2 linked regions of the Lytechinus pictus genome follow. The protein of the gene in region 1 interacts with the protein of each later gene in a pairwise test. Links are inferred from orthologs where the notes say so. Each region holds a gene or a part of one and is shown in the gene's direction. Other genes may lie near its edges. The genes, in order: E3 ubiquitin-protein ligase NEDD4-like and arrestin domain-containing protein 3-like.

Evidence for each region.
Region 2: the proteins of E3 ubiquitin-protein ligase NEDD4-like (region 1) and arrestin domain-containing protein 3-like interact in binary tests that used the Homo sapiens proteins (3 or more experiments, as listed by UniProt). The link is inferred for Lytechinus pictus from reciprocal best matches to the Homo sapiens genes NEDD4L and ARRDC3.

What each region holds. Positions count from the first base shown.
Region 1 is NC_087249.1:27,695,806-27,712,708, forward strand, and holds the start of E3 ubiquitin-protein ligase NEDD4-like, read left to right. Parts: upstream 1-8,459; 5' UTR 8,460-8,549; coding exon 8,550-8,582; intron 8,583-12,420; coding exon 12,421-12,506; intron 12,507-15,337; coding exon 15,338-15,422; intron 15,423-16,903. Other genes in the region: 5-formyltetrahydrofolate cyclo-ligase-like, read right to left, coding at 286-515, 1,201-1,459, 5,181-5,291. UniProt on the Homo sapiens protein: E3 ubiquitin-protein ligase that mediates the polyubiquitination of lysine and cysteine residues on target proteins and is thereby implicated in the regulation of various signaling pathways including autophagy, innate immunity or DNA repair.
Region 2 is NC_087249.1:17,115,664-17,132,464, forward strand, and holds the start of arrestin domain-containing protein 3-like, read left to right. Parts: upstream 1-9,668; 5' UTR 9,669-10,885; coding exon 10,886-11,035; intron 11,036-11,836; coding exon 11,837-11,945; intron 11,946-12,935; coding exon 12,936-13,014; intron 13,015-14,504; coding exon 14,505-14,652; intron 14,653-16,801. Other genes in the region: membrane protein FAM174A-like, read right to left, coding at 2,560-2,689, 4,024-4,349. UniProt on the Homo sapiens protein: Adapter protein that plays a role in regulating cell-surface expression of adrenergic receptors and probably also other G protein-coupled receptors.

The sequences.
Region 1 (16,903 bases):
CTTTCAAGTCAAGAGGTGGCTGGAGAAAACCACTGTACACACAAGACTTGGGCCAAGGCCAGCAAAATCTGGCCTTGATGCTGCCCTTGACTATATCCCTGCTTATTTTGAATCCATGTCAATCATTCAATTTTATCATCCAGCAACATGACAGAAAGAGATGAAAGAAAAAAATTATCATGTTTCTCTTTCTTCAAATCCTGAGCAACCCCATCGATCTTTCAATTTTCTAATCAAAATACTGTTGAGTTTTAAGAGTATACCTTTGCTTTCTCTAAAGCTTAATCAGTCATCCATGTCTCCATAGAGCACGTAGTCTATTGTGACATCATTGTCTGTGACAGGTATACTCTCGCAGATCTGTTCCTTGAAAGCCAAGGCGATTGTAACCGGTTTGATTCCAGATTCCTCCAAACATCGCTTCTGGTAGATGTCATAGTATCCCTTTCCTCTCCCAAGACGATGACCCTCTTTGCTGAATCCAAGGCCAGGGACAATAATCAAATCCAGACCTCCTAAAAATTAATTAAATTAATCAAAGATTGAACTATTGAAGGCTATTCGTTGGATGTACAGTTCATGTAGTTAACACTTTCTTAGAAATGTAAGACAGGAATTATTAAATTATTATTATTATTCAGTTACATTCTATAATTTTGAAAATAAGGTTTTACTATCCATACAAGATCTTGAGGCTATTCAACATGTTTATTTAGCCAAAAAAAATATAAAACTACAAATTTCTTCACTAACGATCTGGTGGATGATACATGCCACAAAAATGATGCATATTTTCAAGCGAAATTAATAATCAAACTATAAAGAAATGGCGAGATCCTGAAATCTTCAAAATGATAATACCAGATATATGTGTTTGAACAAACATTCGCTTGCCAATCCTGGAAGCCTCTAAAACAGAGACCAAGGGCTATATCCTAACGGGGAATTCCAGAACTTCATAATGTTTTAAAAACATATTTTAACAAAGAATATGGCCACACATAATTCAACGGATATCAGTTTACCTTCCCTATCCTGTCCTGTAAAATCAAGAATTAGAGAAAAAAAATATCACAGGACAGGCAGACAAGCAGACAACAATTATATCAATTTTAACAGGAACAAAATACTATGTGATTTTATGAATTTTTCTGAGGGTAAGGAAGGTTCTTAATTTGTTTTAAAAAGAGATAAACCAACCTGTTTTCAGAGCATCTTCCCTCTCATCATCATCAGCCGGCTGCTTGATCTTCCATTTTGTTTCTGGCAGAGCTTCATAATCCTCCATAGAGGTCATCCTCAGCATATTCATCTTGGGTCCAATGTACTGAGGAATGTAGCAGGATTTATTCTGGGTGAACATGTTCTGAAGGATACCAGTCGTGTCCACTTCTTCTTTCTTCATGGCCAGGTAGACTGATATCCGCTGACTTTTCTGGTAGGCAGGGTGTGACATTAGCTGCATCGAAGATCATAAGTGCAAGATGTATCAACAAAAGTAAAGTTAAATTACAATGTATTCCAGCAGTCAAAATAATAATTTAGTCTGTGGTCAACCACCAGAGTGATTAAAAGTAAATGAGCTCAGCTAGATTATACAGACCCTCTGTAGTATACTAGTATACTCACAATGATGGTGAGTTCATGGCCGAAGTAGGGGGGTTGAAATCTTACATATTTTACTTAGACTTTTCACAAAATTCACCAAAAAAGTGCACAAAATCCTTCAAACGATTTTTTTTTAAGAAAATGCCAAAGTGCCCCCCATGGCAAGCTTGGTCACTCCACATAAGGCCCACTTTCGAAAACTTTTCATATAATTCATTCTCCCTATTGCAAATGAAATCACTCTAAAATGTGTCCTTGCAGTGTTTTGCTCTCATTATTTCATAACATAGGGAAAATAACATGAAAAGTTGTACTTAGATATCAGGTAAAGTACATCTATGTAATCTTATGTATCTAATGTGGTGGGAGGGGGATTTCTTTAAAGAATGTCATTCATTGAGTCAAAAATACATGAATTTCCAAATAGTCTAGATGCTTCTTCTTCTAGTGTGAGTAGTGCTTCATCCAATCGAAACTCCTCAATACATTCTGAGGAGTGCAGGCACAGTGCTGCCTTGAATATGAGGAAAACACTACTACTAGCGACATGGAAATTGAGACTAGGGCTGAGGTTAATGGTGAAAATAGTAAATTATACTTGATTATCATCTAACATTCCAATCGTAAATGTGAAGTGATCACTGAATCTTTCTCTGGGGGTCCAGAACATTCAATGTGCAGTGTTTTAATTTAACTTTTGTCTGACATGGTGTAAAGGCTTGGTCTGATGGTAGATTTAATGGCAGCGGGGGAAGGCATAATATCAAGTTTGGCTAAAAAATCAAGCCCTTAGCATATCCCCTAGATCAACATAATGTCGAGGCAACAAATTGTTGGCACACAAGTTAGGGCACTTTTGCATCTGGCGATGAAATTTCAGTCACATGGAGCATCTTTTTCTTCTTCTTACTACTTAGAATACTTAGGGAATATGCTGAACAAAATCATTTTGACTCTGTATTCAGTTCCAAATTCCTTCTTCTTCTTCTTCTCCTTCTTCTTCCTCTTCTTCCTCAGCTGATCCCGGAGATCTACAGACGCTAACGTTGGCGAAGGACAATAAGAAACAAGATGGCGGCGTAAACATCGAGCAAGTTTCCCCGTCTTTTCATAATATTTTTCTTGTTCTTTTACTGAATTTTTGTTTAAAACTGACTGAAATCGATATCGTAGAAATGTCGGGGATCTTCATGAAAATATACCACATTTACATGATTTAGGGCTAGATCTTTTAGAAAGAAAGTAAAAATCACAGCATGCTCGGGGCGAAAGTTCCTGTTTTTTCGCAGTACACACACATGAATGGGACGCAATCCCTGGCTCCGTGGAGAGTAAGCCTACGTTAGTAAATGATTTTTACTCTCCAGGAACCTCCTGATTGATCTGATGGATCATTGTTTACTTTCAAACTGTCAACATGGATTTTCTCCAAATTGGTCCTGTATGACACAGCTCTTATGTGCAATGGAAGAAATGACACACACACTTAATGCTGGAATTCCTATTGATGTCATTTATTTAGACTTTTGTAAAGCAATTGACTCTGTTCCTCATGAGAGGCTTCTCAAGAAATTAACGTCATATGGTAGTATAGTTGGAAAATTACATGCTTGGATAAGAGCCTTTGTAACAGGAAGGGAACAGAGAGTGACTATCAACGGTGAAAGTTCTGATTGGAGTCAAGTACCTTGGTAAGCAGCGGCATTTCGCAGGGGAGCGTGTTAGGACCCATTCTCTTTGTCATCTTTATAAATGATTTACCTAATATTTTGGACAATTCTGTGTATATTTTTGCCGACGATACCAAAATCATCAATGATGTCAGCTCTGATGTTAAACAAAAGACTCTTCAAGCTGATCTTACTCATGCTGTCGAATGGAGTGAAACCTGGCAACTCAAGTTTTCAAAATGCAAGGTTCTACATATTGGAAAGACCAATTCAAGAAGTGTTTATACTATGAATGGAGATGAATTAGAACCATGTAAGCAGGAGAAAGATCTCAGTTTTATTATGGATGAAGAGCTCAATTTTCGCCAACATGTCTCAGCAGCTGTTTTGAAAGCTAACCAAATACTTCTTCTTCTTCTTCTTCTGGAAACAGTACAGTCCACCGTCTGGTGTATTGTCGTACTGGTGAAGTGCAGCGTGCAAGTGTATGTACATTATTCGATAAAAAATTGCTTACAGCGTGCAAGTAAAAGCAACCACCGTTATTAACGGAGCTGGGTCTTTTGTACCTCTTGTTTAAAGATGTGTAGAGAGGTACAATTAACTGTGCTGTTGGGGAGGGAGTTCCAAAGTCTGGAATAGTACACAGAACCTTTTCTCAAATAACCCCTGAAATATTGTTTGTATCTCTGATTCGACCTCATCTGGAATATGGGAACATTTTATGGCATGTGAGATTTAAAATGGATGCAGACAAAGTAGAGAAGGTGCAAAGGAGAGCTACTCGCATGATTCCTGGTCTCCAGAGCTTACCGTATGAGCAACGTCTAGAGAGACTAAACCTTCACTCACTGTTTTACAGAAGACGAAGAGGAGATGATTACTGTTTACAAACTGTTAAATGGAAAGTTTGGGATCTCGAGTGACACATTCTTCACACCAGTAATCCATTCATCAACTAGAGGTCACAAGTTCAAGCTTTTCACAGGACGATCTCGGCTGGAACTTAGGAGTAAATTTTTTAGTCAAAGAGTAATTTCTGACTGGAACAAAGTGCCGACAGAAGTAGTGGAAGCTAAATCAGTGGAAATGTTTAAACATCTGTTGGATAAATTTTGGTGGGGGGAAAGATTTAAAACCTCCATTTCTCAACGCACGTAAAGTCTCACAAGTTTAAACTGTCTAGATAATGGTCAACCACCGGAAGTAAAGATCGGAAAACCTACAGGAGAAGTCTTTCATTTCCTAGACAGGAATAACCGTCGTTTCTGGGGATTTATCTAACAATTTCTGACATTTTACTAATACTATCATGAGCCATCATAGTTCAGCGGAACAACCAACATTTCAGAGACTGAAGCTTTTGGTCTATTCATTTCCGTACCTGATGTGATGTGATGGTATTGATCGGCCATTTTGTTTTTAATTTTGACAGAAGGAAAACGAACGAGACGGAACTTTTCCTTTTTTAGAGGGTCCAGTTTGTGCCTCGATGTCAAGATAGCTGTGTCATGACACTCATCCTACGAACGATAGCCAATATGATAGACCTTCATCCATATAATCGAGGTAAATGCATAATTTATTTTTCCCCTTTTAATTATTTGAAGTGCTATTCCGACCCCATTTTGGAGAGTATATGTTTGAATAGTATTACACGGACGACTCTCTGGGTTAGGAGAGTCGTTGCACGTTGCCGTTGGAAAATAAATTCAGACAAACATTGACATGATAATAGTCAATACAACATGTATAATGGCATAGACGTGTCTTATATTAATTAAAGTTGACATGAATTGCAGCATCTGGGACCGAAAATTAAAATGCGTCGTCTGCTACAATCTCAGGTAAAATATTTGTCTTTTCCCTACAGAATTGAACATGATTTATCGGTTCACTAACCTTTTTTGTTATGTAAAGAGACTGCCTGACCTTCTCTGGCTCAGAAAGAGCTTTCAGTCTCTTCTTTAGCTCTTGTCGAAGAAGGTTTTTCGCTTGATGGACAGCCTCCATGACTCTAAACCGGATGTAACTCAGAAAAGTGCATGATGGGATCGTTAAAACATGTAGATGGCGCTAGACCAATGTGGTGCGAACTGAATTAACTTTGATAAATAAAAATCTGGGTGCAAATATATATATATTATATATATATATATATATATATATACCTGTTGAAACGTCTGCTACGAACTTGCTCTGCTATATGGCCTGAACAAGCGGGCTTCTCATTTTTACAGAATGTAGGCATATGTCATTCTATAAAGTTTTCTAAAAAACTTCAAATTGAGCTTTGGTGCTAAAGCTTCTCCTTCTCCCTTCACCATGTTCGCAAGCAGGCTCCTGGATTGTGCCGGGCTGAAATCATTCAACAGTATATTATTCCCACTTGACACGTCCATTTTTATTCACAAACTTTAAATGGTAGAAGTTTGACTTTCCTCGCTTTGCGAGAGAAGGGGAAACAAAAATCAGGCTTTTTGCGAAAACACAATGCTATAGCTATAGACCTATTCCTCAAAATAGAATTTTCTTACCTTTTGAATTACAATCACATGAAGGTTGGATTTTTATGAAATATAACTTTACCAACAAAAAATGATGAAGCTTCATTTGGGATATATATATACATATAGCTTTTACACAACAGATTGATTTAACGCAGTTCCGTAACTACCAAATTTTAGGGTGTACACTAAGCACAGGGGCCGCTGAACGGTTTTCAAAGTGGGGGGGCTGACCATGCTAAAAATCACAATCATATGGTCATTTTTACGTTTTTGTACACGGTTCCGCGGCCCCTGATTAGCAAATGTGGGAAAATTTGTAAAAAGTCGCCAGCGAGCCAAGTGATCGAGCCAGAAGAAAATTGGCCTTTTGAAATGAAATTCTAATTATGTGATAGATTTTTACATTAATTTCAGGAAATAACATATCATCATTGTTTTCCATTCATTTCATTTTGTTTTATTGCCTTCTTTACTTTCTTTTATTTCCCCTTGGCTGTTGAACCAAGAACCCCGCATGCAGGAATTAAGAGTCCTTAAAGGGATGGTCCGGGCTGAAAGTATTTATTGCTTAATAAATAGAGTAGAATTCACTGAGCAAAATGCTGGACATTTCATCGAAATCGGATTACAAATAACAAAGTTATTGAATTTTAAAGTTTAGCAATATTTTGTGAAAACAGTCATCATGAGTCACATCCACACTTGTTCTTTTGTATTTTATAATATGAAATTAGGTTTATTCAAATTTTTTCCTCCAAGAACTAGAAAAATTGGATTGACAACTGATTTAGTGCATTAGATATTTATTGCTGCAACTTATTTAATTATCACTCTAAAAAATGTTTACCCAATATTGGGTAAAATGGGAACATGCATGTTGGTTGGGTAAAAAGATACCCAGTATGGTGTCAATTTAACGCAATGTTGCGTTGAAATAGCCCAATATGGGGTAAAAAAAATACCCAGCAAACATGCATGTTCCCTTTCTACCTAATAGTGGGTAAAATTTTACTCAGTGTTTTTAGAGTGATATAAGGGAGACATGTTATTCACACAAGTATGAATTAATGAAAAAATTATGATTTTATGTAATAACATAAGAAAACGGAAAGTGGAGATGTGACATCATCAGCCCACCTAATGAATATTCATGACGACTGTTTTCGCAAAATATTGCTAAAATTTAAACTTCAATAACTTTATTATTTGTTATCCAATTTTGATGAAATTTTCGGCATTTTGCTCAGTAAATTCTACTTTATGTATTAAGATATAAATATTTTCAGCCCGGACCATCCCTTTGATAGAGCCATTTTAAGGTAGATGAACTAGTTTGTACGGTATAACCCTTGCCATGCATGCAGTGTAAAGCTTTATTACGGTAGGGTCATAGGCCCTATCACGTAATAAGGGGATGTGTACGTCTAGCCCTTGGGATTTTTTGTCCTGATTGCGACCTTATTGTATAAAATTTAGCAAGCTAATATAATAATACAATGTTCCTTCACTTCCCGCTTTTTTTTTCTTTTTCAAGATTTTTTTATTTCTCAACTCATTCCATACATAGGTATCACATGCACAGATACAACATAATAAAAAAAAAATAGCACACATTTCAAACAAATTCAAATAAATGGTTCATTTTGTATACAAAATATCTTTTGTTCGATGCACGTTTATCAAATTACGTTTAAAAGCAATAATTCTCTCAGTTGTTTCGATTTTTTTCCAAACCAAGCATAAATTAAATGAGTAAAAGTGGGTTTGATACATGAATAGATGACATATTTTGCAAACAACACAATGATATTGGTATAAGATGAAAGTTATTGAGGGTTATAACTCCAAAAATGTCAATGTCACTGAAATATGTACTTCTAATATGCTTGGCCTTCAACCACTCGTGAACTTCGTACCAAAATGAAATTACATATTCACATCTAAGAAATAGATGAACAATTGTTTGAACGTGGTTTTCACAGAAATTACATAAAGGAGAATCTTTTACTCCAATTTTAAATAAAAAATCTTGTATTGAAATTCTTCTGTAAATAAATTTAAATTGGAAGTTTTTAATTTCCCGATGAAATCCACCAGTTGGGGAGCCCGCCAATTGTGATTTTTTGCATGGTCAGCCCATCCCCCATCCCCCCCCCCCCCCCCACTTTGCTGCCCCCGGGGCTGCCCCGGGCCCCTGATGCGGGCCCTGATGCATGCCCTGCATGCCCGTTGATAGATCCGGTATACGGATCCATATCCGTATGAATCCTATCTGGAGAAGTGAAATTTGTCAATATATACATATTTAATTGGCTTATTAAGACAGTTTTTTGAACAATTGTCCTAGTTGATAAAGTCACTCTTACGTATACATGTGGAAATCTACAAAAGTTTTACAGTTTGTATGAATCATCGTATTTCGTAATAAATTCTTCTCGCCCGGGTTAGCCTTACCTACAGACTGAAAAAGAATGAAGGAAAAACTAGAACTGATATAGGCTTATTCATGCGCTTGTGTAATAATCTTATTTCAGTTATTTAATATTTTAGTCTTATTTTTTTCTCCACGGATTCCACCGGTTTCTTTCTGTCTGGTCAATACCCCCCGCCCCCCCCCTCCAAAAAAAAATAATTCTCGCCCGATATCGTTGAGGGCGCAATTCATCGAGTTATTTATAGAATCGACGAAGGCGAGGGTGGGAACGGAAAAGTTTATTGTCAAAAATATTGACAACATACTTACCAGAAATACTATTTGTACATGGCAACAATATATGGTCTCCCCGAAATGCAGGTGAGTTCACGATGTACTGAATAAGTTGATTGATATGACTTTTTGTAGTAAAATTCAAATTTTTTTATGAGTCCTCGCCAGAAATTCCGGTAGGCCTACTCTCGTCGATTATGCTTCCCTGCCGCTGCCCCCGCCGTACCGCTCACGGGTTTAACTGCCGACCGCTCTGGCTGATATTCATGCCAAAACTGGTGTAACGTTAGGCCTAACTTTAGTTAGAGTAGACTACGCCGTGTACACTGTAGGCCCTGCGTGGAATGTTGCAGGATCAGTGTGGATGTGCATGGTATGGTGAAGATCATTTAGCAGGGTTTGCCGGCCATTCCGTGCGTTTGGGAACTGGTCAACAAATCGAATTTATATTATAAAAAATTATTTCACCACGATATGTAAAGAAACTTTGGCGATTTTGAAAGTAATTGATGCGAAAGGCTTTGTAGTTTGTTTACGATGTGAAGCTCCTCACACAACTGGTTCCCTCTTTCCTCATGCAATATTTATGATCGGGCTCAGATTGCCATGGGTGGACAAGTTTCAAGACCACTCTGCCACTTTCACAATGTTGACCAAAAAATTATTACAAAATCGATTCATTAAATAAATCACAAGATATACCGGTAGGCTATATATTATGGGGATGAATCACTTTAAACTCTGTATAATCATATTGAATGAATTTCTGATCGCGTTAAGAGGGGGCATCTGTGTCCTTTGGACACGTCAAATTTCTAGTCCTTCCTAAATCTCTTATAGATTTTATGTTAGATAATTCTTGATAAACCTCCATATTTTTTTTTTCAATTTAGTGGAGGCTGGAGGGGACATATGAAACTGGAAGTCTTGCCCAATAGTCTAAGGGTTAAAGTGAAAAAGGGCAGCAGTTTCAGAACTTCTAGATCTAGATCCAATTGATTTTTGTTAGGCTTAGACTAGACTTTAACTTTATCTAGATCTAGGCCTAGATCTACATGTAGTTTAGACTGAGGCTGAGACCACTCAAGGTTCCAACTCAGGTGTCGTGCACAGGAAAGTGCAAGGCATAACACCCGTGAAACTTCCATGGAATATTTTATTATGTAGACATTAGTCAGATTAGACATCCCTAGTGAAATAATTTTTTGCTATGCCGCCCTCTATATGCATCTTGTAGCTTAGTTACTAACAGAGATAAGATGTGAAAAAATTCCCATTTCTACCACATATATACTGTAGTTTAAAGTCGAGTAGGGGGTGCTTGATATAAAATCATTTTCATTAAAATGAAACATGATCACAGAAACTATTCAATATATTATTTATTTCTTCATTACTTCCACTAATCTTGAATCTATAATTTGTTCTTTCTGTCTGTTTTTCCTTTTTTTTTTCTCTAGATCTATTCCCTTTTTTCTTTTCTTTTTTGTTTGTTTAAGGCCTATCTTTTTATTCTTTTGCATTTATTTTTATTTTCATTTTCTCTTTTATTTTGAGGGCTTTTTATTCTACTTTCTCTTCTCAATAGTTTTTTCTCTTCTATATATCCGTTTTTTTCTTTGTTATTGTTCTCCTTATTCTTTCGTTTCTTCTTTTCATCTGTTTCAATTGTTTTTTTTTTTCTCTTTCTCTATTTTTTTTTTTTTAGATCTCCTTGCTGTAGAAGTTTATTTTGAAGACAAAGAATTGACTGTTTTTATTTCCTTTGACTTTACGATTTGTTTTTTCTCACCACTTTATTTGCCTCCTTTATCTATCTCATGCTTAACATTAATATCTGATTACTTCTCATTCCTTTTACATCACCATCCCTTCATCTCCTGCTTTGCATTCCTTACACAATAGGCCTACTATTTGCAATGATCTTTTGTCCCTTCATGTTCATTTCATGGTTCAGTTAGCCTGCAGTTACTGTCTTTGCTGTTATGCTGAACACAAGCGATACGTCTGATGTGGCAAAGACTACAAACTATGGATGCAAAGCATCCACCGCCTATAGACACCCGTCTTGATTTGGATTTTGTTTTTTAATATTGACAATGAAATAACGCTGGTTTTTCGTACGAAAAATTCTCATGCATATGTTAAGCCATGATGTCACTTTCTTCATCCAAAATGGCGAGTACGAGTACACGTGAAAAACTTCTATGAGAAAGTTTGGATTATGGAGCTGACAAATTTGGCATGCCTAGTTAAAGTAGTTATTGATGACGGGAGGATATATTTGTCGCTTTACCAACAGGATATAGAAAAAGCGCTATCTACCAGGCAATCCCTCTGTGTTATGATTATCTTCGCAATCACGTCTTTTATGATGGAGATGTCTTAATTGTTGACACATGACCAGGAATACAGGTACCGGTTCCGGTACCACAACATGTCAAATGACAAGATCATGGGAAGTACGAATTAATAATCGTTAATTTGACAACGTCATGTCTCTCAAATATACTTGAAGACTATAGTTTAGCAAAATATTTAATCTTTTATTTTAATGGTTGTTAAAAAAAATATAAAACATTGTTTTGCAGACGTTGAGTTTATGTATCCCTATCTCCTGATTTGTTTTACCCCCATTAAGTAATGGACGAGCAGAATCTTTTTCTTTGCAACTTCATGTATCTGATGGTTGAACGTAACTTTGGTAAGCCATATTAGGCGTGGTTGTGGAATTATCCATAAATTCGTCATTTTGAATAAACTTGAATATTTGTTAGGGTGTCTATAGGCAGTGGATGCTTCGCATCCACAATTCGTAGTCTTTGCCACATCAGACATATCGCTTGCGTTCAGCAGATTAGCAAAGACAATAACTGCAGCCTCCGCTTTAGATTATAGGCTATGGTTCAGTTGATTTACATTGAAAGGTTTAGCCTATATGATTATTTAGTGAAACTTACCCTTATTCATAGAAACTCATTTAAATTTGTTGTAAACTCATTTATTTTCATATAATTTCTTTTATATGCAAACTTTCTTATTTGAATATTTAATATTTACAAATTATTGTTAAACAAAGAAATAAGCCCGCAGATTGAGATATTAAGTACACCTCCGCCAGGCAGATTATCACAGGCAAGCAAAGAGTGAACATTTGTATATTATTTAACTCTGTAGGGACATACCACACCTAGGTGACCACATAACAACTACCCTGCCCACAACCTTTACAAGCAAAAAAATCACTCTTGGACTCCACCTTGATGCAGCCAGGGGGGGGGGGGGGGACAACATTTTTAATACACTTTTCTATTGTCTCCTTTAAACAAAAATGCTGGGGGATGCTGGATCTACCACTGGAGGATACCATAACACATTGTCAGAACAGATGATCCATGCATCACTGAATAGAATTTTACTGGGTCTTTTTTTTTGCATGCAGTGAGTTCCAGTAATGAAACTAGGAAAACTCTCAATTATGATAATGTAGATCAAGGAATTGTGATAGGACTCTGAGCAGCTAGCAAGTAAAAGTTGTTGTAAAATCTTACCTTTTTTTTAGGCAAAGATGGCAAGGAGTCAAGACTACATTTTTTTTTAATGAGATAAGCTTCATTCACAAAATTGGTACATTTTAACATTTAATATTAGGCGTACTACTCCTCAAGTATTCTAGTTCTAGGGAATTGTAAGTTTCTGTTGGACCTTATCATGCATACCTTTTTCATGGGGTAGTCCCGGACATGTGATGCTTGTGATGAAGAGAGTCAAAGAGAATAAAATTAGGTTGCATTATTGAGGGGACAATTGGGGTTTGTCCTTACATCCTCTTTGAATCAGAAAAATAATAGATTTTGATTTGGTTGTGTGTTCCATGACACATTGCTCATCTCTATTTTGTTTTGTGTTTGTCTTTTTTATACAGGGGGAGGCCCCTGGAACTACCCGGATCTTGAAAGTGAGAGTTATAGAAGGAAAAGACCTGGCTAAGAAGGATATATTTGGTGCAAGGTATGTTTGAATAGATTCTCATCATGCATCACGTTCCTAGGAATCCTCCAAGTACTGTTGATTAGTTAGTGGTACATGTAGATGTGTATGGTTTATGAAATAAAACATGATTTAAAATATTGTAAGCCAGTCCAGGATGGGAATGAAATATGAATGCCAGTTATACTTACATTTGTAATATTAACCCATCTGTTTATGTGGTGAGTGCTGAGAAGCATTCATCGTAAGTTATTTTAAATTTGTGAATCATCTGTGTGTGTGTGTGTGTGTGTATAATGTGCTCTAAAGAAAACTCACAAATACTATTGGTATTATACACATAATACTGTATATTATACATGTACATGTATGTACATACTACATAAATACATGGATTGTTCTAACATTTTGATGCCTCAACAAGAAATGATCTAATTTGCTCTTATATATTAAAGTATAATAGGCTACCAACATGTACATGAATGTTCAGAAGCAAAGATCTTTGTGCATGAAATCTTTAATGAATGTCCATATGTTTCAAGAGTGTGGTAGAAAAAGAAATTGACAATGTTACCAGTGTTAATTTGAAAAAACTAAAATTTCTCCTGATGGATTTGACAAAAATACAGCTCTAGCTGAAATTGAGAGATGAGAGTTTGAGAGGGAGAGATTGAAACTAGGTGAAGGTCTGTGAAGATAGAGACTATTCTTTGACTGATCAATAATTTGTGAAGTCTCAGTGAATTCGAATTGGTAGGCCTGCCTGGCTGGGTTTGAGGAGAGAGAGTATCGCTGTTGTGACTTTTTTTTTTTTTATCACCTTTATTCAAAACAAAGCAAATGGAAATTACAAACAACGAAAATAAGTCCAGGTTACTCGGTTTTTTAGGACGAAGTACAGGTCTAATATAAGAATTACAATACAGATACACAATATATAACATATCACAATCAAATTTACATAAAACGATTATACATTGGTGATTGCAGAAAAGAAAATTGAAATAGATCAAGCACACACCCTTACAACTGAAATGAAGAGAGGATAGAGGGGAGATAGAAAGAGTGAACTTGATGAAGAGAGATAGGAGGAAGAAAAAGTGTGACGAGTGAAAAGAAGGGGAAACAGGATAAAAGGATAAGACAGAGAAGGAGAAAGAAGAAAAAGAGGAATATTTGAAGCCAAAACAACAACCTATATGCTGTTAGAAGTAAGAACGCTTATAAAGAATAATGCATTTTCATCGCTTAAACTGGGAATGCAACCCAAATAAAAACTTGTTTTTAGAGGAAAAGGAAAAATCAGACAAGTTGATAGGTGAAAGTTTGAACAATATTGGACGAATAATAAGGAAGTTATGAATTTTTAAAAGTTGTAAAAATTGGTTAATCACTATACCCATGGAGACTACAAATAAGCCAGTCTGTAGTTCCACTCTGCGCATGATCAGAAGATTCTGCGCATGATCAGAGGAAGGTCATTTGTACTAAAGTGACATGGTGGTTTAAAATTAGTGAGATAAGCACCAACTTCGATGTCTTGATTATTCATATATTCTTTTGAATTGTGTTTTTCATTCACATCCACAAAAAAAACAATGCATCCATGAATGACTGGTATATTTAACAGTTTGCCAAGTACATTTACATCCTCTAATAGCATTCAAAGTAGAAATGCAACAACTACCTTCAAGTGTTCATTGATGTGCTATTCTAGTCATCTGGTCTATTCAATTTCGTCATCCCGCTATGTAAGGCATGCATACGTAATATCTTGCTTTGAAATCTGCCTATCTTAATGAAAGAAATGAAAGGTCATTTGACCAAAATTGTCCATGAAGTAACTGCGAACTGGTCTATTTGCTGCATATGTGATGTAAAGGCCAAGGACTACTCTTCCATGTACTCCCATACATAAAATGGGTAAAATGTAATTTTTTCAAAAGTTTTACTTCAAATTATATTTTTCTTTCATGAGGACATAAAAAAATATAGGCCTACTATCTTGATAATATTTAGATTACTGCCCCAGGGTAAGGGGTACTTGGTAGAAAGCCACAAATCCCTGATAATTAAGTAAATGGCCTATGAGAAAGTTGGCCTTGCCCCTTGTCATACCCAGTTGCCAATTTTAAATCTACGTCTAGTCTAGGAAACCAAAACCCAAGAAGAGGAGAAATCATATTAGAGTAAAATGAGATGAACAATTAAAAAAAAGTTTCATCAAAATCGGTTATGAAATAAGCAAGTTATTTTAAATGTTTTAAGTTTTAAAGTTCCTAAAGTGTCACACCATGCCTCCCAAGAAGAGAACACAAAAGGAGAAGGGGACAGGAGAGGGGAGAAGAACACCAAGTCTACGGCCACTGTACACTCGACGTACAGCTGCTGTAGACCATGGCTACGGCTAGTCTAATTTCTATCAAGCGTAGAAATGAAAAAAATAACTATAATTCCGCGCAATAATGCTTCAGCCACCCCTATGGCCTGTAAAAATAGGAATCCGCCCTACATTGACCCTGCAGGCGTTGCAGATATTTACAGCCACCGTACACCCATCGTAGAGCTATAAATTTGACTGATTTTTATATCAGAGTACTGTTGGAATTGAAAATTCTGACATTTTAGGTCAAAAGGCGTTAAAACTCTTAATAAGTTGGTTAGGACTCCAATCTAATGCAAACTATGTACAATTTTGTGATCCCTTCCCTGGTTTAATATTCAAAATACTGTACAAATATAATGCCATGTGATATATTTTTTTTAATCTGTGAAATATCAAATTTGTATTTAAAAAGAAGACAAAAATACTGTATATCTTACAATATTATTTATGATTTATTCCTATGTAGTGATCCATATGTGAGGATAAAGCTTTTCAGAGGAGATAGGGAAGAAGGAGTTATATCAAGTGTTCAAACAAGGACAATTAAGAGGGTAAGTTAAAAGTAGAGGATTTCCTTTAATATTAAATCCACTGTGATGTGTCTCAAATGTGGGATGAAATAGCACTCGTACTGGCAAATAAATGGAAAATGAAATGAGAACTGTTTCCAGCATTAGTGTCATTGCAAGTATCCTGGTCGCCTCGCTATGTTCACAAGTGGAAATATGGTATGTTTTGCATTTAAAATTTCCAGACATGGAAAATACTTACAGGATCTGAAAGAAAATACCGGTAAATGCCAGGTACAGAAACAGTGAGATTGGTGTAAAGAGGAAGTACTTAATAATTTTCTTTACCATGTATCGTATCAAGTTTACTGTTCTTACAAACCATAGGGATTTGAAAAAAATGATGCTAAATTACATGAAACTCACTTCAAAGGTATTTAAGTGTTGTGGTGATGTACATTAAAATGAGAGTGATTGTTTATGGGTCTTGAAGCTGTAATGGTCTCGGTTTTGTCGGCATATTTTCAGAAAATATTCCAGGTAGAAATACATGTAAATGTAGGTTATACTTTCAATGGTGTAGAAAAAAAACAGGTGGATGTGTTGTACCATTTCAAAGATTTTGTCTTTCATTCTAAAACTTAGATATATGTTGTTTGAAAGTATTGCTCTATATTAAAAATATGTTTGTCCAGGATGATATTTTAGATTGAAGAGATACCTTTTAGCATTATAATTTCATTGTTAAAGGACAAGTCTACAGTACCCCAACAAAATGTTGATGTGAATAAAAAGATAAAAATCCAACAAGCATAACACTGAAAATTTCATCAAAATCAAATGTAAAATAAGAAAGTTTTGACATTTCAAAATTTCGCTTAATTTCACACAACAGTTGTATGCACATCCTGGTCGGTATGCAAATGAGGAGACTGATGACGTCATCCACTCACTATTTCTTTTGCATTCTATTATATGAATTATGAAATATTCTGATTTTCTCCATCTTGTCATGTGAAATCAAGTTTTATTCCTCCTTGAACATGTGGAATTAACATTGTTTAACATTATGTGGTTCAGTCAAGTTTACCTTATTGTTAATTCTGTAAAAATTGAAACATTGTATAATTTTCAAACAATAAAAAATAAAAGAAATAGTGAGTGATGAACATCATCGACTCTCTCATTCGCATATCACTGAGTTGTGCATGCATAACTGTTTTGAAAAAATAAGCGAAACTTTAAAATGTCATAACTTTCTTACTTTACATCCGATTTTGATGAAATTTTAAGCGTTATGCTTGTTAGATTTTTCTCTTTTGATTCAAATCAACATTTTTCTGGGGTGGACTTGACCTTTAAGTTGTTTATCTTTATTAAACTATAAAATGAAAACGATTTTCGGCAAGATACTCTTCACCCCAGAATGGGTACTAGCAGGAAGGAATCTGTTTCACGCTGCAATTCCACTCTTTACATGTACTTCCCTGATATTTAATTTAACCGCGTGGGGCTTTGATTCC
Region 2 (16,801 bases), about 11 Mb from region 1:
AGTGGATAATGCAGAGACTGAAGTAATGAGACTAGGTTTACTTGTCTACTGTGACTGCTTGACACACATATAGGGTTCAGACTTCAGAGATTAGATTTCATCCTAGACTCGTAATATTGGTTAGTGTCAAAATTTGTGTCTGTGTTTGAAGACTAGGGGGTGGCTTGGGGGCTGAGAGTTTGTGTATTTAGCCCCCCTCCCAATATACTTGTAAGGCCTAATAATGACTACCATACTTGTTAGTTGTATATTGTCTAAAATAGTCCCTATAACTTGAAACTGTATATTTGGACTTTCCTAAGAATAGCTAGAGATATCTACAATAGGAAAAATGGGGAGATATAGAAAAGGGGTAAAATGAATTTTGTGTAAACAATGCTCTCTATTATAGAAGTACTGGTTTTACATAATTATACAGTTCTTACTTTATCAGAAGTTTCTATTAAAAAAAGCCGCTCTAGAATAATGCAACATAATTTTCACTGACATTAGCAAAGCACCTGATACAAGGCTTGTGTGTCAATAGATATTTTCCTGCCAGATTTACCCACCTCGGCCTCGGTCTGGTACAGCAGTAGTAGGAGTTGAACCCACTACTCTTTGAAAGATGAAAGTTACAACTACTCTCATAATAATGAATAAGATCATGCTACATGTACCATGTTTTGTAAAGATAAATGCCAGTTGTGGTAATGTATTTCAAGAATCTAATCAAATGACTACCCAAGTGTCTGTATACATTGTATGACTGTATACAGACACTTGGGTGGTCAATCGATTAGATTCTGTACAAAATCATCTTGAAAACCATCACCACAACTGGCATTTATCTTTACAAAACATGGTAGCATAAGCCCAAGGAATCTGGAAGAAATGGTGTAATTGCTAAGAAATTAGCAAAATGAGCACAATATTGTGGCAAATTGTCAAAGACAATTTTCAAGCGATCATAATACACTGCCCCAAATGTGCTTATCTGTGTTGGTGATCTTCTGAATGTCTTTCAGCTTAGTTTTCACATTTCCACTATACAATTCAGTTTTGTACCAGAACTAGATACTTTTTTTTAATGTAGGATGATATTGTGACAACCTTGATTTTACAGATTTTCTCAAATCAGTGTTTACTGCAACAACTTTCATTTATATTCAATGCCAAGAAAGTACTTTGCTATGAAACATAATACTGTACCTATGGGGCTTTAAATTTGACTGCAAAAGTGATGTCACTATTTGTGATACAGGAACATGTAAGGATTACTCCATTTGCTTTGATGAAATCACTAAAATATCAGCTTTTTAAGAGTCAGATTTGCATCAGCTTTGAAGGGAAGTGGATTATTTTTTTCTGACCCCAGACCTTGTGAAAAGCACTTGTAATGCCTGTAAAAGAGACATCCAATAGGGGAAAGCTAACTTGGTTTACCATCAAGAAATTATTTGTCACAGCCTGCTTTTTTAGCTTCAGCCAACTTTGAAGGCATTTTCCAGTAGCATTACACAACGTCTGCTGGTAATAAATCTTGTTCTACTCCGAGTGATTTAGATCCCAATAGTGTAAAATTCCCCATGAAAACACATGGGAATTTGCTTCTAAAATTTATGTGAATGATATTTCTTGAGAGAGGACCTATAAATATACTATCTAATATATGCAGGACAGCAGGAAGGGTGCCTTACAGAGAAAGTTATTTTTACCACCTATTATCTTCTCACCAAATTGCTAATTTGACATACATTGTACATGTATTTACATTGTCTTTATAGTGATCTTACTTTTCAATCAGCATTGACTTTCATATTCCTTGTCCAATTTCTTTCCACCTCTTGACTTCTGTTTTTACCATTTGCTTCTTTCATAGAAATAATTAAATTCCCAATGTTGGATTGGATTGAATACTCCCCTGGCTGCAAAAAAGCATGAAATTTCCCCTTTTAAGTGACTAGACTGCAAGGTGTATATTTTACTCCTAGCTGCAAGTTTTCTTCCACAGCAAGGGGCCAGGGAGATCAAGGGAATCATGGGTAATGCACATGCAAGATCAAGTCTCTCAGAATGATACTTGATCCAATATGACCCCATAATAATTAAAAGTCACATGGTGCAGAAATTCAGTACATCAATTTTTTAAAACTTCCTTTTCAAATGACATCTTATAATAATAAAGATCTTTAAACATATAAGTAGTTATATAAGCACCTTTGCTTTTTGAGAGATGACTGGGAGGAGGGGGGGGGGGAGGCTGTATTTGGCATTCTGCCAATCACAATAAATATACTATGAAAATTTGACACAACAAATGGTATTCAATACCCAGGGTTAACAAATAAACCTTCCCCTATCAAAATTCCCCTAAATTGATACATTTACATCTTACATACATGTACATGCAAGTCCATCTTGGCATATCAATAAGTAACAAAGAATGCATTAGTACATACAAATATGTTAGGGAATGTGCTTCATGCATCTTGTTTACTTCAAGGCAAATTACATGTATTTCTTTTTTTTTAATGCTTGGATAGGTTAAAGTGTTTGTGGTGTGTAAATAAATTATTACTATTTTGAGTTGACGTCAAACACTGTCATGTCTTCTTCATCATCATCCTGGTCGAGTGGTCGTAATTCCATGTCTGATGAACGTGTTGCCAGTACCCCATATTTCTTGGACTTTCTCTTTCCTCTTGACCTGTGAAAACACAAATAAAGAGAGTGTGACATATGTATCTGAATTTCTTTTAATTAAAGTGAAGATTCCTTCAAGACAAGAAGCCCGTTCTGAATTAACCAAGGTAACTTTGCCATTCTGGCAACTTTAAGTCTACAATGGCTCGGCCTCAACATACATGTAGCCTCAAAATAAAGGTTTCCTCATTTTAAGTTACCATGAATGTATCTATACATGTAGTTACATGTACCATAGTTGGAAGGCTGTGAAACAGTAGTCTTGAGGACTCCATGATGATGTCTTTTTTAAATACTTTGACTAAACTTCTTCATCATTGGAGTCTTGAACCGCCCTTCATATATGTATAAGAGACACTTTTAAACAAAGATGGATTTCCCTAGGAAATCCAGCTTTTGATATAAAAATCACGTAAATTGTTGTGATTTTATTAATCTCTACACCTTCCTACGCCTAATGCATAGGAAGATTTTAAAAATGGTCAATTGAAATGTTACAAAATGAAGGTTTCTTACCAGACCGATGTCTTGTAGATCCCTCGATCAAAATGTACACAACGCAAATACAATAGGGTCGATCCTTGAACCGCTTATGTATGACGTACATCCAGTAAGCAAAGCCGTTTTGAAGAACAATTTATAGATAAAAATTATTATTTCACAAATACTAAAATTTATTACGTGATTATAAATATTTAGCAGTATTATACTAATTATTTATAATTACGTAATAACTTTTAGCTAACCACTAACCGGATGTATGTCATAGGTCATCACGAAGCGATTCAAGGGTCAGGTCTATGGTCTTTGCTTTGTTGACAAACGGATCGAGGGATCCACGGGAGATCGGGTCTGTAAGAAACGTCTCATTTTTACCATTTATAGTGAAATAATTTTTATCCCTTTATACGCATTAGGCGCCTGAAGGTTCATAGATAAATAAAATTTGACAATACAAACCGATTTCACCCTCTGAAGGAAATCCATCTTTGTGTACATGTGTCTCTTATAGATATACATGTATGGACGGGGATTCAAGACTCCATGATGAAGTAATATATGTCAAAATATGAAAAAAAAACATCATCATGGAGTCCTCAAGTCAAGACTAGCTAACTGCATTCATTCAACAGTTAAGCAGTTCAATGAACAAGGTTATGGCTAACTGGTACATTTTAAGGCCTTGATCTTCCTTTATAGTTTCCCTTCTTCATGTTCTTGGAACCAGCTAAATGTGTTTTATAATTTGAGCCCTTTTCATCTGATTCGAACTTAGAAAACAGATCAATCATGTTTTTTTTTCATTATTTATTTATTTTTTTTATTATTATTTCTTACCTGAACCATCTGACAGCAAAAAACACCATAGCTAATAACGTAAATCCAATCAGCACAAAGAAACTCCTTCTCAGCATGCTTTTGTCATACAAAACATCGCCAAAATCGAATTTTCCATCATGTGACGAAGTTGTGTTTGCGGTCGGTATTTTGGAAGTGCCGAGGTTAGAGCCCGGTGAATGTGGCGTAGCCGTAGGAGTTGTCTTGCCAGCCGGAGGTTGCCCGTCGCCGACGGGATCAGGATCCGCTGCTAATGCCAAGTCCAGCTGCCATCCAAGAAACCCAATCAGGAAATAATGCAGGGAACTATTAAGTTTCGAAAACATTGCGTTGAAGAAAAATAGCATCCTTAGGGAATCAACTGAAATAAATTTGATTCCCATTTTCAGCTCAATATTGTACAAAATCCGATGGTTTAGCTAGATTTTTCACTTTTAGTATCGCAGAGATCCACGTCATATGATCACTAATGAACGCAGGGGGCGCCAACACTCTCCGATTCTAAATAATTGTGATATTGGTTTTTATTTCGATTTTTTTATTTTATTTCACCCTTTGTTATTGAATTTTAAACTGCACCTTCAAGCAATCATTAATAGATGGGCTGATGATGATATGTCCCCACTCTCCACCTTCATTTTTCATATGATATTTCATGAATTCATAATCATCTCATATAGATCTATTCATGCATGTGTGTAAGCTTCCCCGGGTAGCAAAACAAGTTGCACCAATGATTAATAAAATTATACTCAATCCATTCTTTTCATTGTTGGAGGACAAAATTCTAATAAATATAATTTCATAATTATTTTGATTGGATTTGATTATGAAAATAGAAGCTAATAATAATTAGAGTTGTGAAATATATGATTTTGAAAATGATTTCAGTGTATGTGTTACATTTTTTATGTTTCCACTTTGTTTTAGAATTTCTTTTTTTTTTTAATAAAGAAAATAAAAAAAATCCGAATAAAAAAAAAATCTGATTTAAATCAAATAAATCCGATTTTTTTCCAAAAAATAATGAAAAAAAAAAAATCGCCAACCCTGTTGCATATTCATGAAGACGTGCATAGAACTTACTTTTCACCGCCTGTAATTAAAATTCACAACTTGTTCCTTATCCGATTTTGATATAAGTTTCAATGTTTTATTTGTGTGAGTTTAGCTGTTCAGTGGTTCTGCCTGGAGTACCAATTAAGTTTCGATAGAACACGATCTTACTAACCTTATCGGTATGATCACTGGCGTACAGATAGGGGGCACTTGCCCACCCCCCAAAAAAAAGAGAGAGAAAAGGAAAGAAACTGGAAAGAGAGAAGGGTGAAATATATTGCTTTCTAAAAATAATGTCAAAATCTATCACAAAATTTGTAATAAAAATGTCAAAACTTTTACTCGCGGCAACTTTCTATGAATTTTGCCAAACGCAGCTCACCCCCCCCCCCCCCGGCCGGTCCAAAATCTAGTTGAAACCAATAAGCCAGTTCGTAGTTCCATTCTGCGCATGATCAGAGAAAGGTCATTTGTACTAAAGTGGCATGGTGGCCTTAAAATTTAATGAGATAAGCACCAGCTTTGGTGTCTTGATTATTCATATATTCTTTTCAATTGTGTTTTTCATTTGCATCCACAAAGAACAAAAATGCGTCCACGACTGGTATTTGATTTTGATTTATTGTTTTCTTCTGCATCCATAACATTCGTATAATACATTTTTCATAACATAATAAACATAATATGCTAGCATATATTCACTGCAGTTTGCCAAGTACATTGTACAACATGCTATAATATGCATTCAAAGTAGAAATGCAACAAATACCTTCATGGAGTCTTCAATGGTGTGCTATTCTAGTCACCTGGTATAATTCAATTTCTTCATCCTGCTATGTAAGGCATGCATATGTTATATCCTGCTTTGAAATCTGCCTATCATAATGAAATAAATGAAAGGTCATTTGACCAAAATTGTCCCTGATGTAACTACGAACTGGTCTATTAGAGCAAATCCAGTTGAAACCAGTTGGCCAACTGGTTTCAATAGGGAAATTGGAACAACTGGTTCCAATTGAAACCAGTTGCCAATTGATTCCAGTTAAGGCAACTGGAACCAGTTGGCTATTGGTTTCAATTGGTTTCAGTCGAAACCAATTAGGCATTTGCATATCAATTGGTTCCAGTTGTTCAAATTTCCCTATTAAAACCAGTCAATTCCAATTGGAGGCAAAAACCCGATTGGTTTCATCTAGCTGGATCCAATTTGATACCAATGATAAAGGGCATTATTAAAATTTAGGCTTTCACATATACATTTATATTGAGGAGCTTCGAATATAAATATGATATTAGGATTTCCAGTTACATGTACATAACTGGTACCTGTTAGGATTTCCAGTTACCCAACTGGTCATGCTGGTTCCAGTAAGAAGTCATTTCCATGCAGTTGGAAGACATTTCCAGCTATACTCAACTGGTTCCAGTTAGAATTTCCAGTTGCCTGGTTCAAATTGGTTTCAATTGGAAACTGTTATATTCCAGTTAAATTAAACCAATTAAAACCAGTTTGAAATCAAACTGGGCGTTGTGGCGTGCGCCTGTAATCCAAGCTGTGGGGAAGTTACAAATTGATGCAGAGGTTCGAGCCCTGGTCACGTCTTTCGGATGGTGACGTTAAAGGTCGGTCCCAGACGTAAATAATCATATCTGATTGATACACGTCTGACAAAACTCAAATACACACAACTGGCTTCAATTGGATTTTGGTCCTGTGCCCCCATTTTACCAGTCCACTGGGCATGATCTCGTGAAAGGAGTGAGAAACGATAGGGGCAGATCCATGCAGGGTTTTTATTTCCAATAAGGGGGGGGGGGGGGAGCTAGGCCTTGGAGTTCGGGTAGTCCTAAACACTGAAATTGTATAGGCCTAAAGATATTTAGCTTTATTTTTGCAAAACAAATTAAGGTCATAATCATTAATAGTTCATGTGATCGCCGTGTCTGAAGTTTTTTTTTGTAATTTACACCCGAAGACAGAACATTCTAAGCGCCTATGGTGAAGTAGATGTGAAACTAACCAAACAATATTATAACGAGTGTAGAGGGAGGTAAATACTTGATAAATACGGGTTCTGTTGACTTGAATCCTTGATTCTGATTGGCTGTTGAGACTTGTTACCATGGTAGTTAATTGGATGGAAAGTATGTTACCATAATGGTAACTTTCATGCAACGGGCAGCATAGGCAGTGGCGTTTATTAACCAAAAATTTGGAGGGGCTTGATTTGACCTATCACGTAAAATTAATAAAAGTTGCGAGTGTAAAAACACGTTTCGACATTTTCATCTCAAGAATCCAAGTTTGTAATAGATTTTGACATAACATTCAGAAAATAATATCACATTTCACAGTTATCCCTTTACTTTTCTCTTTTTTTCCCTTGGTCGTGATTTATTTTTTATTCATATTTATTTATTATTATTATTTTTTTAAATTTATTTATTCATTTTTTTTTTTTTGGGGGGGGGGGGGGGCGTGGGCTCGCCCAAAGCCCCTCCCTTCCTGACAGTGTGCAACAGGACCCTGATGAAGAAAGCTATAGGGCAGGTATCTCGATCACTCATCAACTTATTGCAATCGCGAAGTGCGATCGGAAATCTTTTAAGTCTAACAGCTATCCTCTAAACCAGCCTTTCTCAATTACTTTTTTTGGAAGCGCCACATTTCTTGTCGAGAATCTGTAATGCTCCACTATCCATTACGCAAACCAGCAATGTATCAGCGGAGGGGGTCCAGAGGCCCCTGGTGGGGGTCGAGGGGGCAGAGCCCCCAGAAGTTTTGGAATATGAGGCCTTTTAAATTGGCCAGAGGGGCTCTAATTAATATCAACAGAAGAAATACAAATGCCAACAAACTGTACAATATTAATATTAAAAGAAAAATGACCAGTGACTTTTTCACAACATACAATATTATACCACTAGTTCAGACTGTTCTGCACCAGATCTATTGGCTGAAGCAAGTGGCGTAATGAATAAAAAAATGAGGGGGCTAGATATGGCAGCTGAAGCAAAAATATTGAACTTTTCAATATAAAAATCTATATTTTGACATAATATTAAGATAATAATACAATATTCCACTCTTTCCCTTTCCTTTTCTCCTTTTTTTTTTAAAATCTCGGCCGTGAAACATTTGGCCCCCCAATCCCCACCCCCATCTGTACGCCAGTGGCTGAAGTTACATACCCCGATTTGCAAGGGCTGAAAATTAGGCGTTGCACTGCACTAGCGCTCCAAACTGCCCCTTTCTCTTTACAACTCACGTGCAGTATCATCCATGTGCATGCAGGCAAGCTCGGCAGGCAATACATCTGAGCATAGTATTTCACTTTTACAACTTCAGATTTTAATCGGCTCCGGAAACAAAGTTTCTGCTTGTTATGTCTCAAATTCATAATTTTTTTATGATCAGGATGTTCTTTGAATATCACATTATTTGATGTTTAACTCTTAACCAAAACGTATACTCTAGCTGGAAATGCAAAATTTCTCGCCGTTGAAATAGAAATCCTACAAACGGGGTTTTCAAATCACTTGTGTGGCACATAAACTTTGTACAGCATAGAATGAATAAAAGGGAGAACACCATCGATCCTCTATAATGGGGGTTATCGAGTGCTAAATTGGGAAAAAATGAGGAAATAAATTAGCAATTAAGTGTCAAGTAAAGAGTTTTTGTTTTTTCTTTGTATTAAAATGATCACCAAATCCTTATTTCCAGGTAATTACTGGTAGATACATTTTTTCTCCCCAATGTTTCCTTATTTTTACTTGTTTTAAATACCAGCTCCCAAGCGCCACCCCGCAAGGCTCGGTGCGCCACAAGTGGCGCGCGCGCCACCATTTGAGAATCCCTGCTCTAAACCTTTTTATTTTATAATGAATAGAACTTTATTTCTGCCTGGCCCATTTGAAATTTCTAGTAAACTTCCCGGTAAACTTAGATATCAAATAAAAAAGCAGATATTTAACTTTAAAACACGATATGATTTGTTTTGGAAACTCAGATACCACCCGCCAAGTGAGTTTTTGGTAATTTGATCACTCATTCGTGAAGAGGATTTATACCAGATGAAAGAGGAGGATGTTATAATCTTTAAAGGCCAATTGTATTGACTTTGTGATTATATAAATCATCGATAGTTCTCGATTCACGTTTTTTTTTTATGGGACGCACACATTATAAAAAAATGTACGATACCGGCCTTCATTTTCGAGAGCATAATGGCTGATGCCGCTCTACAATTTTTAATGTTATTGCTCCATCTTTTCAGACATACAGCAAAATTATCATAAGAATGATATGAAACAACAGGTTTTTTAAAACAAAAAATCAACAATTTTATTTAGTCTTAATGTTTGACTTTCTTCCTCTTCAAATGGCAGATTGCAATCACGAATCATTTAAATAAAGATCTTGTGCATGTATAAAAACAAATAAATACATCATTATCCACGAGACTACAAACACATTTCAAAATCATTCCTGGGAATCATTACAAAATTAACATGAAAAACACCGGGGAAAAGCATCACACATGAAATACCGGGATTACTGAACAAATTCTCTTACAAAATTTATAGTACAAATACTAGCGCCATCTACTGTTCGTAATGGTAAATATCAAAATAATCAGCTGAGTCCCTGAGAAAAGAAAAAAGGACGCCCAACTCATCAAAGGATCTTCTTTGAATCTGGAAACGGAAGCAGCCAGCCCGAATTTTGATTGAATTTTGATATTAAGTGAATTCACTGGTTGGAGCAGATGTATAAACCTGGGAAAAGCACGTAAATTTGTCCGAGTCCCGAGTCTAGCCAGGCATAACCCGCAGTCGCAGAGTCAGACGTCTGTCACTGCACTGTGCCTGTGGCACAGCTACGGTACACTACACTACAGTGCAGTGCCCAGCCCGCAATCAGCACCAAGATCATCAATCACAAAGCTGAATGACAGCGCACAGCCAGGAGACAGTGACAGCATAGCTCAACAACAATAAGTGAAATGTAAATTATGTCAACAAAGCATTGCTGGAGTCAAGAAAATAAACCAAACTAAAAACAGCTAGGAATAGGATCTAAGTTAGATCAAGATCTAAGACTAAGCTACCTGAGCTGTGCCTGTGTTCATAAAAAATCTCAGATTTGCAAATCCAAGATTTATTAGTTCATAGTTGCCAAGAAATTAAAAATTCTTTCCATTTTGTTTTGACTTTATATTTTAGTTTTAGCTTGTGCCTGCCTGGCTGTGAATGTCTAACTTACAAGTTATAGGGTCTGAGACTGAAGGATAATGTGGTGTTAGATACTTTTTAGTTTAACTTAATAAAGTATATTGGGCATGTTATTAATGTTTGGTCTATTGAATTGGGGGCCTTGACACCATGGTGCAATTCCACAATTTAAACAGTGACAGCTGAAATTTAAAATTTATATTGGTCATTCCTCATCATGTTTAGACTTCATCTTGTGAACAACAATTTGTGAGTGATCTTCTAAACAAATTTAGAATGAGACCGAGCAGGTTACATGTACAAAGACTACATTTATGACCAGGAGTGGTGTGAGGATTTATTTGTGGAATCTAATGCAGCTTACATGTATCGCAGTGACCGGTGTCGCCACAAAAAATGTACCTGAAATGATTTGAGACATTTGAATGGCATTTTTAAGATATTTGATGCATTGTAGACTAGGCACCACCCACCGTCCCCAAACAAGCAGATTAAAGGATAAGACGTGCTTATTAAAGAGGACCAGGACTTGTGTGTTTGCGGCTCCTTTGTGTAATTATGCAATATGGTGAAACTGAAGGATTTCCACATTGTGCTCGACAACAACAAGAATGTGTATTCGGCAGGAGAGTTTGTCTCGGGACATGTTGCTGTCGACCTTCGAGGGGACATGAAAATGCGAGGTATCCGCATCTACATGCGTGGACTTGCCAAGGTAAAAAATCTGAGACCTGCTTTTACTTCAGAAGTAGAGGTTGGTAGATAACTGGCTGGCTGTGCTGTCCAGGGCTGGATGTCTCAGTGGAGCTTAGCATTTTGAACATGATAATATTATTTTATTGAAGTAGTTTCACCAATTTGATAGACCCTACCCTGAAACTCTTAGGGGCTTTTCCAGGGTAGTTATGGGTCATTAATCATTTGTCTTGATGGATTCCTGAAAAATTTGTTACCTAAATTTGTCCATGGATTGATAATAGGAATTTGTATATAAAAATGCTGGCTAAATGGATGCAAATCATGCAACTAAAATTTCCATCCATGCCTTTTAGACAGTCATCAAACATACATGTACATGTAGGCCTCCAGTACAGTGTACTTGTACATAAAACAGATAGATAGGCAAACATAGATTTTCTATAATCATGTAAAAGGCCTCCTTCATGAACTCTTTATTTAGTACCTTAAAATTGTCATGTTTGCAATTCTTTGTAATGTTGAGCATAAATGTTATCTAAGGTGTAATAATCATGGTAATAATGATGAGGTCACCATTTAAAATGATTAAACATCATACATGATAGGTATACCCTTCAAGTGCAAGGTTGTTTGGCCAAAGTAATAATTTTATACGTTCTGGTACAAATTGATAGGCTGTATGAGAAGCCTCTTCAACTAAAGCATAGATTATGTGATTTGCCAATGCCATCTTAGTGGATTACTATACATGTTCTTCTTTTTCGTTAAGTCTTACTTTATTTTATTGTTTTCCCCCATTTAATTGTCTTTATTGTAGGTACATTGGAGTGAATCAAGAGGAGGAGGCCACCAAACAGGATCCTACACCAAATATTATGATGCAGAGGAGGAGTACTTCTACATGAAACAAGTCTTATTCGGAAAAGGTGATTAAACGGTTCCAGCATATTTGCTCCTTCTGCAGTTGCTCTAAGGGAAAGTTCACACATTAGCAAAACAAAAGTGTATTAGCCATAGATCTAGTCTGTGCATCATCCTACCCTCCGACGGTTAATTTTCAATTGGTCTAATGCCAATTTGTCCAATTCCCAACTCGTCTACTATTATTTGGTCTACCATCAGTTCGTCAGCCATCCACATGGTCTAATTGCCACTTCGTGCACTCACCATTTCGTCCAATAACCAGTTGGTATAAAAAAGCCATCTAGTCCATATACCATTTGGTCTAATTGGACTATGTTCTAAAATTGGGCAAACTGAATGAAAATAAAATGGATATTAGACCAACAGGTTATAAGATGTACTGGTGAGTATACAAAGTGATGGTTGAATCAAATGGTTATTGGACCAAGTTGTTAGACGAAAGATTGATGGACGGAATGGCATTAGACTGAAGGACTGAAGGTGTTGACTCTGTAACTCTGAAATGAATGAATAGTGATACCAAAATATTCATACAGCATGAGCATGTGTTCTTTTTAGTTGTACATGTACAGCGCTGTGCTAAATAAGGATATTGTTAGAAAATTAGAACATTTTAGGTTTTTTAGAATGAATATGGAAGATATATATATATTTTTTAAAAGAATCTATTAAAGTCAATCTTAGTACCTCAATGAGTGTACACACATGAGAAATTTGTGATAGGCTGCTTCCACACAGGTACGTGTATGGGCAGATGTGAACAGGGCCCTTAGCAAGTGCTGCAACTTTGTGAAAAGTGGAGACTGCTAGCTACCTTATGAGTCTAATAGTACTTTTGCCTTCTACATATGTACATTGTTCAAAGTAGCAGAGCCCCCTTATGGGAAATATTGACTTGTGACAAATGACAAAGTTTGCAAACACCTTTTAAATGCCATTACACCAGAGCTCTTTGTCTTTAAACTATACCTTTGCTTTGGTTTTCTGTTTAGATGAAGATGAAGGTGGAAGTAATCCCGTTCTGAGAGCAGGCCATCATGAACTGAGATTTAGCTTTCAAATCCCATATGGGTAAGTACCATGGAGAGAAAATACATGTTGAGCTTGGGGCAGATCCCCCGCCACAAAGTGCCCTACATAGTCCTGGAAAAAGAGCCCCTGAAATTTCCATGGTGTGCAATATAAACTGTAATACACTGTAGCACAATTGGGCTCTTGAACTAAAAAAGTAGCTTTGGAATTTTTTCCTGGTAAGTATGGTATGTTACATGACTAGCATGACTATTTCTTTTAAAACGGGGCATATCACATTGGACACTCTGCTGTAGTTTATTTGCATTTCAGGCTCAGGGACCGATATGCTTTATAGGGCAAGAAATTATCTTTTCACAAATGATAATGATTTGAAGCAAAAGTCACAGTCTGTGGTTCTTGATCCTAAAGATTGTACCTTTACCCTAATTAAGCAAGGCTTATTTTGTCGATCATATGCCACCCATGCAGTTTTCCCGCAGGGTGCCCTCATGCACGATGTATGGGAATTTCAATTATTTGTCACCAGACTTCCATTTTGTCTGTTATCGGTCTACTTCCAGCAAAGATAATTCATCCCTTTAAGGATAAGGATAAGGCATAAGGGTTTATGTTTCCTGTAGGTTTGCTGTTGGATTTTCGGTTCTGCAGATCAAAGGGAACAAAGTCAAATATTGGAGTATTAATTAACATCTTCATTTAGCAAGATGCGGAATTATTGGTGCAAGAATTTTCATGAGTTAGTCCTTGTAACAGCAACAACAAAAAACCCTTCAAGTGTTTCAATTTTAAGTTGTTACCATCTGCTGTTCCTAAAATCAATCTTCAAGGCTTGGTCCCACTGCACTTATGGATGCAGAGAAGATGTAAAACAGGAAGTAATCTTATCATCCGTTGGAAAACGTTCTGTATCCGTTGTGTACTCTTTGCATAGGTGTTTCATACGCTCTACATGTATATCCATCGAGCATCCGTCCACTGTGATTTCATTGTTCGCCCATTTTGTCCATTGTCTGGAGCGGATGGAGCCACCCCGAAATTTTGCTTGTCCACTGTATCCGTTATGAATACGTATTGTGTCCGTCGGCCAGTGGGACCAGGCCTTGAGTTATTGGGTTCTTGGTTTATAGTCCTTGTAACAGCAAAAGAAAAATACCCTTTCTGTGTTCCAATTTCAAGTTGCTACCTTGTGCAGTTCCTCAAACCAATTTTAGTTGTTGGGATCTTGGGTTAGTCCTTGTAACGCCAACAGCAAAAACCAATAACAAAAAGCAAAAAAAAACCTTTCTGTGTTCCAATTTCAAGTTATTACCATGCACAGCTCCTCAAAGCAATTTTAGTTATTGGGTTCTTGGGAGAAGTAATTAACTTTTCTCCTTTGAGGCTTGAACACACATTCAATTTTATGAGTGAGTGTTATATCATGTATGCCATTTCTTTGTGTGTAAATAAAGAGTGCTTGAAATCCGTAATTCAAATTCATGAGCGAATTTGTGTTATTCTCTTTATTTCTTTGTGTGTATTAACAGGAGAGTTGCCACATCGTTTGAAGGAAAGTATGGCAGGATACGCTACTGGCTAAAGGCTGAGATTGATAAACCATGGGGCTTCAATAGCAAAACCAAGAGAGCATTCACCGTCATTGATCACATCGATATCAATACACCTCAACTTTTGGTGAGTGTCAACACTTGTGTATATTTTGTTAGGGGAGCCACTCCTTCCCCCTCCTCCAGCAGTGGCGTCCCTGTAAATATATTTCTTTGTCAGGGTGGGTGGGAGGGGGGGGGGGGCACAAAGAAAAGAAGGAGGTCAAAGGTTACTCCCCATTTTCTGAAGCATTTTCCAGCACTGACAAAATTTTCTGAAAACTATTGAAGTTCATCAAAATTCTGTCGGGGGGGGGGGGGGGGAACTCTGCACCCTGCCCACCCCTCAGGTATGTTTGTGCTTCCTCCCCCCCATTGACCGCCACCTATTTCACTTCCCCCCCCCCCCATCATAATACTTTTGTTGATTCATTTTACAGTGTGCCAGATAAAGAAAACTCTTTCAATAGAAGGTCCTCAAATATGTTTTCTTTTTTTTCAAATTTGACATTAACCTGTTAAAAAGGTTTGGGGTACATGTATCTGTTATTCTGTTTTAATTTGTCTTTAAATCCAATTCAAATAATATTACAAAGATGACATCAGGGAAAAAAAGTGAAAATCTTAAGTAAAATTGGATGTTAGATGTAGATATTCAAATAATATTTTAGACGAATGAGTTTACATATTTTATTCATAAATAATTAATGGATTTTTTTTGGGGGGGCTTGTAGTTAATGCAGGGGGGCATTGCTAAATACATCTCAAATAGCCCAGTCTTTTTATTGGGTTAAGAGGAAGATTGGAAGAACAAAATCTCCTCTTTGACCTGAGATCAAATACCAGATTAGAAAGTGATCAAAAACTGAATATCGATTCACTCGCATGCACATATTTGGTGAAATAGATGAACCACGTACAGAGAACATAAATCAAAAGAAATAAGATTGCCTTAGCTGCACTGGTCGGTCCATCGATGCCCTACTTCTGCTGCTGCTGGTCGCACAAAAAACTGAAATGTAGAAATTCACAGTGTCAAGGACGTTGACAACGAGTTTAAAAGCCAAATAATTCTTACATTATGTTTCATTCATCCAATTTGGACTTTAGAAATAAGATTGCCTTGCAACTTGCAAGTTTTCTCTATTTTCTTGCTTGACTTTAATAACGGCATGCCTGTAAATGTGTAGATTTAAGTCAGGAACTTTGGTTCATTTTATCGGTTTAGAATAAACTTGTAATGATAATCATTGTTAATGAAAACTTCATACTGGTACTTTTTATTTGTACTTGTACATGTACAGGGAAGTGATATTCTGATGATTTAAAGCCTGTCTTTACCTTTGGTAAATGGTCAGTAATGTGAACTCTACTCTAGTATCATTGAACATTATAAATACAAAGGTGTTCAAGTCATTGAATGCATTCTTACATTTTTAAAAACCAATTATAAATAAAAATATATATTTTTTTTTCTCCAGCAGTTAGGGTTTGGATTAAAATTTGATCTAAACTCTGTAAATTTATCCAATAAAACATAATTTTAGATAATATCCCTCACACCACAACCGTTTTTGGGCTCATGCATTAGCATTGATATAATATAGTAATGAAATGGAATAGTTACATTCACTTTGGGGAATTTACCAAACCTAAAGATATCCTTTAATATTTTAATGTTTAAAGAAAATGAACAATCAAATGGAAATGTAATGTAATATAAATTAAACACAGGCTGGATTATAAGGCTATTGAATAGTTACTGATTTCAAAAGAAAGGTACATGTATTTATTCAAATATTTGTTCATCTCTGGAACCCGATTTTAAGCATTTGTGCCGATTGAAAATTAAATTTTGTCTTTATAAGCATGTTGGTGACTAATGTGTATATATTGATCAAAGGAAATTAACTCTGTAGGCGTTTTATAGATAACTTTCAGCAGACTTTCAATGTGTGATTTATTTAAATACATGTGTATTGGAAGTAAATTACATGTAGATATGTTGCACTAGGCTACACTACATGTATGTTTACTATTGCACTATTATTCAAGTCTGAAGAATGCAGGTGACAAAATAATAATTAATTCTTATTTCTGTTCTGTACAGACTATTTTCCTTCCCCTTTCAAAGTAACTGTAATTAAACCAATATTATATGAAGTTTGGAGAGTGATTATTTTAACCTTTAATGGGCTTTTTTTTAAATTTCAACGGCTAAATCACCCTCGGCCCAT